2 linked regions of the Saccharomyces cerevisiae S288C genome follow. The protein of the gene in region 1 binds, or shares a complex with, the protein of each later gene. Each region holds a gene or a part of one and is shown on either strand. Other genes may lie near its edges. A codon is read from its position in the direction of its gene.

The links. Proteins that work in one complex are often made in the same cells at the same time.
Region 2: the proteins of UME6 (region 1) and SIN3 are in contact, whole or in part, in a crystal structure (PDB 6XAW), measured with the Saccharomyces cerevisiae proteins. Residues at the interface, in NP_010493.1 of Saccharomyces cerevisiae: Asp519 (codon at 169), Leu520 (codon at 166), Gly521 (codon at 163), Thr522 (codon at 160), Ala523 (codon at 157), Ala524 (codon at 154), Ala525 (codon at 151), Val526 (codon at 148), Leu527 (codon at 145), Ser528 (codon at 142), Met530 (codon at 136), Arg531 (codon at 133); in NP_014639.1 of Saccharomyces cerevisiae: Glu407 (codon at 3,206), Phe408 (codon at 3,209), Ala411 (codon at 3,218), Ile412 (codon at 3,221), Tyr414 (codon at 3,227), Val415 (codon at 3,230), Asn416 (codon at 3,233), Lys419 (codon at 3,242), Tyr429 (codon at 3,272), Leu433 (codon at 3,284), Leu436 (codon at 3,293), Gln437 (codon at 3,296), Tyr439 (codon at 3,302), Gln440 (codon at 3,305), Ile446 (codon at 3,323), Val449 (codon at 3,332), Phe467 (codon at 3,386), Lys469 (codon at 3,392), Phe470 (codon at 3,395), Leu471 (codon at 3,398), Pro472 (codon at 3,401), Asp473 (codon at 3,404).

What each region holds. Positions count from the first base shown.
Region 1 is NC_001136.10:865,800-869,552, forward strand, and holds the start of UME6 (DNA-binding transcriptional regulator UME6), read right to left. Parts: upstream 1,724-3,753; coding exon 1-1,723. Other genes in the region: MSS4 (1-phosphatidylinositol-4-phosphate 5-kinase), read left to right, coding at 2,425-3,753. UniProt on the Saccharomyces cerevisiae protein: Component of the RPD3C(L) histone deacetylase complex (HDAC) responsible for the deacetylation of lysine residues on the N-terminal part of the core histones (H2A, H2B, H3 and H4).
Region 2 is NC_001147.6:314,951-318,703, forward strand, and holds the start of SIN3 (transcriptional regulator SIN3), read left to right. Parts: upstream 1-1,987; coding exon 1,988-3,753. Other genes in the region: TOP1 (DNA topoisomerase 1), read right to left, coding at 1-437; DNA-directed RNA polymerase II core subunit RPB11, read right to left, coding at 863-1,225. UniProt on the Saccharomyces cerevisiae protein: Catalytic component of the RPD3 histone deacetylase complexes RPD3C(L) and RPD3C(S) responsible for the deacetylation of lysine residues on the N-terminal part of the core histones (H2A, H2B, H3 and H4).

The DNA.
Region 1 (3,753 bases):
TTGGTCTTAAGACACCCTTTGATGGAAAAGATGACGAATGAGGCCTACTAGCCGGCACACCGAGCGCATTTGTGTTATTCATGTCATTGACATTGGAAATGGGTTTATCATGAGTTCTATATGGGGATGATCTCATGTTTGATAGCACTGCTGCTGCTGTACCCAAGTCGTCGTCTAGTTTGGTAGATGAAGATGCAGAATTCGGACCGAGCAATAATCTTGATCTCAATCCATCCAATTTAGAATTGATGTATTTCGGTGGAGGTGGTGGGATGTATTGTTCATTTGTATGGAAGGGACTATTTCTATTGTTACGATTCGGCAAATCGCCGTAAAAAAACCCAGTAGAAGGTCTTGACGAAGTGGCAAACGGGTCTTCACCGCGATTGATATTGTTCCGTTGAGGGTTGTTGTTGTTTGTGCTTGTAAACGAAGATGCGGAAGTTGGAGGTTGAGAAGGTATTTGGTTGAACCTAAAATGCTGGAAATTGTTTCTGCTGGTAATGGAAGAGCTGGTGTTCGCATGTCGAGAGTTTGTAGGCGTATCCGTGTTTGAACTAGCATTGTTGGAGGATGATTCATTCAAAGAATAAGCCTCATCTCTGTATTTCGAATTTAGCCAGAACGATATGTTGATTTTTGATTCGTTCTCGTCCAGTTTTACATTTGGGTCTGTTATCTCTCTATCCTTGTTGAAATAGAAGTTCCTGGGCGCCACGCCCACGGCACATTGGTCATCATGCACATTATGCTGGACCTGAGAGTCGTTAGATGGACTGCCGCCGCGCTTAGTTCCGCCGCGCAAATACCCGCCAATCTCATTGTTATTAGAGGATTCTCTCGAATCTGAGCTTTGTATCGAATTATTGTCGTTGTTGTTGGTACTGTTGTTTCTGCTCAGTATCGACATAGGCGAATTGGTAGTCTTACCGTTGTTCTTGTTGGCGCTGGTAATGATGAGCGGCAAATCCGATCCTGTGCGGGAACGGATGCCCGAGCCCGTGCCCGCGCCCGAGCCTGCTGCGGTGGTACCGGGGGAAGAAACCGCTGGAGCTTGTGGTGGCGGCAAATGTATTTTTTTTTTGGCGCCGGCGACGATAGTAGTAGTGGCAGTGTTACTATTAGTGGAGGTGGAGGAGTAAGGGAAAACATCCTCGTTGGTTGCAGTATACTGCGGCTGAATAGCACCGGAAATTTGTGGGTCTGTAGCCTGTGCGACATGGCCATTGCACAATGACTTAGGATCCGAAGGTGTATTGGAAGGCGCGAGTGGGCTGGCGGCAGCATGCACAGCGTTATCGCTGTCACGGCGATCTTGAAGTGTAGTATTGGTCGTAGTAGTAGTATCGTTTTCCTTAGGATCGTCTTTGATATCTCCGCCACTTTGGACTTTCAAACTCGGCGAACCAGACGGAGTATGCACGGGAGTGTTGTTGGGCGCACATGTCGATTTCATAATAGAAAGCAAAGGGTTTTCATCGTAGGTTGTCTTGAGAGATTCGATGCTAGCACTGGAAATTGTAGGATGGCGGGAGTTAGCTCCATCACTAACTTCATCTTCTGCATGTTTTTTGCCGTCTTGGCTGCTATTCATCAGCGTGGCACGAGATGTTTTATTGTGCAAATAGTGATGATTGTTGGCGGTTGTTTCCATCGAAAGCAGAGAGGCAGCCGCATTAGATTCGTCCATGTGTTTGCTTTGAGAGCGCGCCTTGTCTAGCATCGTGAGTTAAGGTCCATGCAAATGGTTTGAGTGCGGTAGTGTCCTAGTTCCTGTGCGCTGTGCGAAGGTGGGCGCTTCTTACGATCACTGGTCTCTTGTCCTTGTCCTCTATGTTCTTTTCATTTTTCTTTTTGACGGCGGCAGTTTCCGCCTGGCATTGGTGAAAAGGCGCCTTGAAGCACGGCGGACGTGTCACCCGGACCGAAACAGAAGAGAAGTAGCGCAGTCTTGGCAATTATAGGATGCCCGAAATCCAACGTGCATTCTATTCTCGTGATTATTCTCGTGATTTCGTGTGCAACCAATGGACTTTAAAAACTGCGCTCTACTACTTGTAGCAATGCATGTTTTGGGCAAGTGGGGTTGAGTGGAGTGTCACCTCAGACGACGTGTCGCTTTTGTATATCCGTTTTTACGGACATAAGAACGTGCCGCCCATTCTGGGAAAACAAAACACAGGTTAAAAAAAAAAAGAAAGGAATGGATGGGGAATGGGACAGAGAGGAAAGATAGAGGTGGAAATAACAAAAGCGTGACAACAAAGAAGCAAATACGGAGGGACAAGCAAAGAAAAAACAAGGACAGAAACAAAAAATAGGAACAAGAAGTAGCACATTCATAAGCAAGAGAGTACGAAACCTGTTTACACCCCCCGAGACAGTTGCCCTATATCGCTTTTCCCTATCAATAGTTTCTAACTCATGTCAGTCTTGCGATCACAACCTCCTTCAGTTGTACCGCTACATCTGACAACATCCACCAGTCGCAAAACAGAACAGGAACCATCGCTATTGCACTCTGCAATAATTGAGCGACATCAAGACCGTTCGGTGCCGAATTCGAATTCGAATCCGGATTCGAACCATCGAATAAAAAAGGATCGCAATAATCACACTAGCTACCATTCTTCATCGAATTCGGAGTCAAACATGGAAAGTCCTCGCTTGTCAGATGGTGAGTCTTCCACTCCGACCTCTATTGAAGAGTTAAACCCAACAATAAATAATTCGAGGCTGGTGAAGAGAAACTACTCAATATCAATTGATCCTTTGCATGACAACAGCAATAATAATACGGATGATGATCATCCAAACACCATAACTTCTCCCCGACCAAATAGCACTAGTAACAAGGAAATGCAGAAATATAGTTTTCCCGAAGGTAAGGAGTCGAAGAAAATAACAACACCCTCGTTAAACTCGAATAATTGTTTGGATTTGGACAATTCCAGTCTTGTTCACACAGATTCGTATATACAAGACTTAAATGACGATCATATTTTACTAAACAAGCGCGTTTCGAGGCGATCTTCCAGAATATCGGCAGTAACAGCAACTTCCACGACAATTAAGCAAAGAAGAAATACTCAGGATTCAAACCTGCCCAATATTCCCTTTCACGCTTCCAAGCATTCTCAAATTCTACCTATGGATGATTCAGATGTAATAAAATTGGCCAATGGAGATACCAGCATGAAACCAAATTCTGCTACTAAAATTAGTCACTCAATGACTTCTTTGCCTCTTCACCCACTTCCACAACCTTCTCAAAAGTCAAAGCAATATCATATGATATCCAAATCAACCACTTCTTTGCCGCCAGAGAATGACCACTACTATCAACACAGTCGTGGCACCAACCATAATCACGCTGCTAATGCTGCTGCTGTTAATAATAATACTACTACTACTACCGCTGCTACGGGTCTGAAAAGATCAGAGTCTGCAACGGCAGAAATTAAGAAGATGAGACAATCTTTGCTGCATAAAAGAGAAATGAAAAGGAAAAGAAAAACATTTTTGGTGGATGACGATCGTGTTTTGATCGGTAATAAAGTCAGTGAAGGCCATGTCAACTTTATTATAGCTTATAACATGCTAACTGGTATTCGTGTCGCAGTGTCACGTTGTTCTGGCATAATGAAACCTTTAACTCCGGCAGACTTTAGATTTACGAAGAAGCTTGCCTTTGATTATCACGGAAATGAATTGACCCCTTCTTCTCAGTATGCATTTAAGTTTAAGGACTAC
Region 2 (3,753 bases), on another chromosome or scaffold:
ACCCATTTTATGGTGTCATCTTCGTTTTCTTTTTCCCACCATTTATATTCTTCCTCCTCCTCCTTCGCTTTCTTGTCCTCCTCTTCTTCTTCTTCTCGTTTCTTTTTTTCGTTCTCCTGTTCTTCCTTTTTAGTTGTTTTTACCTTTACATCACCATCTTCTTTCTTGATTTTTTTAGGCTTTGATGTCGCGCTTTTCTTTGCTGGAGGCGATGGTAATGACGACGATTGCACTGGTTCGGTCTTTATTTTCTTAGTCTTTTTCTTGGAAATCTTAGAGATTGCCTCATCACTATCATAAGGTTCCGCTTCGTCTTGAAGAGAGGCAGAGTTCATGGACGCCACCTTTCTTTTTTTTAAAGTTTGAGATAATGGCACATCGTCATCGTCATCAGAAGACAACTCATGATTAACTTTGGAAGCATCAGCAATAGTCATTTTTACGCGTTTCAAGTTTCGAGCTCTGCCCTCCCTTTAGATTTTTTTTATTTGCTGTTTTAATACTATAAGAATAGGACTCAGGTAATTAGAGTAACAGAGAAAACAAAAAAGAATATTGCGCTCGTGTTAGTGTTGAAACAAAAAAATACAGTTGTTCTTTACGTGCATCGATCATATAAGAAAAGGGAAAAAAGCCGTAAAGTAAAAAAATAAAGAGCTTTCCATGGCTGGTTTTTTTTCTTTTTTTTTTTTTTTTTTGAAGACTACAGCAGGTATTACCCGGAGTGAAAAAGGTTTCTCACACTAAAATTTACGTGTTCAAGACATTGAAGTTATGTATAAATATATATGAGCGTATATTATGTGTATGTCCGTTTCCATTCTGTTTAGATTTTATGGCTATAGTATTAAACTCCTATATATCAAAATGCGTCGTCGGCGGCTAGAGTTTGCAGGTTCCACTCGGTTTCGAAATTTGTCTTCAGGGCGCCAAGCTTGTTAATGATGCTGTTACAGGCGTTTTTCAAGGCATCCTTCGGGTCGTAGCCCTCGGTGGTCTGTATTCTCAGCTTGAAACGAGCGAAGAAGGGATGCTCAACCTTGTAAGCGGCAAACAGCACTTTTCTGTCGTTCAGAAGTTCTGCACGAATCAGGTTTCCCAACGTGTGGTCCTCCTTCTCAAACGTTATCACTACTGCGTTGGGGGCTTTGGTGTCGGGGTCAATCTTTAGCTTGGATTCCCCTTCACCCAGAAGGAACAGTTCGAATCTGTCTGGAGCATTCATGATGCAGTTGTGTCCAAATGTATCTGGTTTGGTGGCTACGTAGCTATCTATTTAGGCTGCACGGCTCAGTTCTCTCGCTCTTCTTTTAACGGACCTCTTGTGTGTGCCAAAGCAGTGAACCTAGAATTTTCGCGGACACTTCCACTTTATTAAGTCCGGGTAATGATAATATTGAGCTTGCAAGTTTTTTGAACTCGGATAGCAGCATTATCCATGACATGACACGGATCTACCGACGAGGCTTACCGACGAGGCTTACCGACGAGGCTTACCGTGATCCCTCTCCAGTAGTCTGTAAATTCTGTTTATAATTTAAAAAATCTATCTTCTACTCCAGTCTTGTAACTACTGTTGTTACGCGCTGCCCAGAGTGTGGCACACACTGCGGGGTTACCCGTGTAACGTAGAATAAACCAGTACGGGTAATGATATCGGATTTTCTAGTGATTTTTTTCCATTCGCAAAAAAGTCGCCTTCATTTTGCAGTTCTTCAGCAAACGTGATTTGCAAAACAACGGTTACTCCCCTTCCCTATTACATTTGTCTTCCCTTTTTCGCACCAGCATTGCTAATATTCGAGGCACCGTACCTAACTAATCAGCTCATTCACGTACCACATATTCTTTGTTACTTCCCTCCCTCCACAACAGGCTACGCTATTGACCGCTTTCAGTATAGTCTCTTTACCCTTTTGTTGTGTTCGTTTGAGGTTATTTGGAAAAGGACAAAATATCTAAGAAACAAGTTATACATTGTACAAAAATGTCACAGGTTTGGCATAATTCGAATTCGCAATCAAACGATGTGGCTACTTCAAATGACGCTACGGGTTCCAACGAAAGAAACGAAAAAGAACCGTCCCTCCAGGGAAATAAGCCCGGTTTTGTTCAACAGCAGCAACGGATTACTTTACCCTCGCTATCTGCCTTGAGTACTAAGGAGGAAGATAGAAGAGATTCCAATGGCCAACAGGCTCTAACTTCTCATGCTGCTCACATATTAGGTTATCCTCCCCCACATTCAAATGCTATGCCCTCAATTGCAACTGATTCAGCATTGAAACAGCCCCACGAGTATCACCCTCGCCCTAAATCTTCGTCCTCTTCTCCCTCTATAAACGCTTCGCTTATGAATGCTGGTCCAGCTCCCCTCCCCACAGTGGGAGCCGCCAGTTTTTCTTTGTCGAGATTTGACAATCCATTACCGATAAAAGCTCCTGTTCATACAGAGGAACCAAAAAGTTATAATGGTCTTCAGGAAGAAGAAAAGGCGACGCAACGGCCTCAAGATTGCAAGGAAGTTCCCGCTGGTGTGCAGCCTGCTGATGCCCCTGACCCTAGCAGCAACCATGCAGATGCTAACGATGACAATAATAACAACGAAAATTCTCACGATGAAGATGCTGACTACAGACCTCTAAACGTGAAGGATGCCCTATCTTACCTCGAACAGGTCAAATTTCAATTTAGTTCGCGTCCGGATATCTATAATTTATTTTTAGATATTATGAAGGACTTTAAATCTCAGGCAATAGACACACCGGGCGTTATTGAAAGAGTATCCACTTTGTTCAGAGGTTATCCAATTTTGATTCAAGGGTTCAATACTTTTCTACCCCAAGGCTATAGAATCGAATGCTCCTCTAATCCGGACGACCCCATTAGAGTTACTACACCAATGGGTACTACGACAGTAAACAATAACATCAGTCCATCTGGTAGAGGTACAACGGATGCACAGGAACTTGGTTCTTTTCCAGAAAGCGATGGAAATGGTGTTCAACAGCCCTCCAATGTGCCAATGGTGCCTTCGAGTGTGTATCAATCGGAACAAAACCAAGACCAACAACAATCTTTGCCTCTTTTAGCTACTTCTTCTGGTTTACCTTCAATTCAACAACCTGAAATGCCTGCACATCGCCAAATCCCACAAAGTCAATCTTTAGTGCCTCAAGAAGATGCTAAGAAAAACGTTGATGTCGAATTTAGTCAAGCCATAAGCTACGTTAATAAAATTAAAACTAGATTTGCCGACCAACCTGATATTTACAAGCATTTTCTGGAAATACTACAAACTTATCAGCGAGAGCAAAAGCCAATAAACGAAGTCTACGCACAAGTGACGCATCTTTTCCAAAATGCTCCTGATTTACTAGAAGATTTCAAGAAATTCTTGCCGGACTCTTCAGCTTCTGCCAATCAGCAGGTGCAACATGCTCAGCAACATGCTCAACAACAACATGAGGCCCAAATGCATGCACAGGCACAAGCTCAGGCTCAGGCACAGGCACAGGTGGAACAACAGAAGCAGCAACAGCAATTCTTGTATCCAGCTTCGGGCTATTACGGCCATCCTTCTAACCGAGGTATTCCACAGCAAAACTTGCCTCCTATAGGAAGCTTCTCGCCTCCAACAAACGGTTCGACCGTACATGAAGCCTATCAGGATCAACAGCACATGCAACCACCCCACTTCATGCCCTTACCATCGATCGTTCAACACGGGCCAAATATGGTACATCAAGGGAT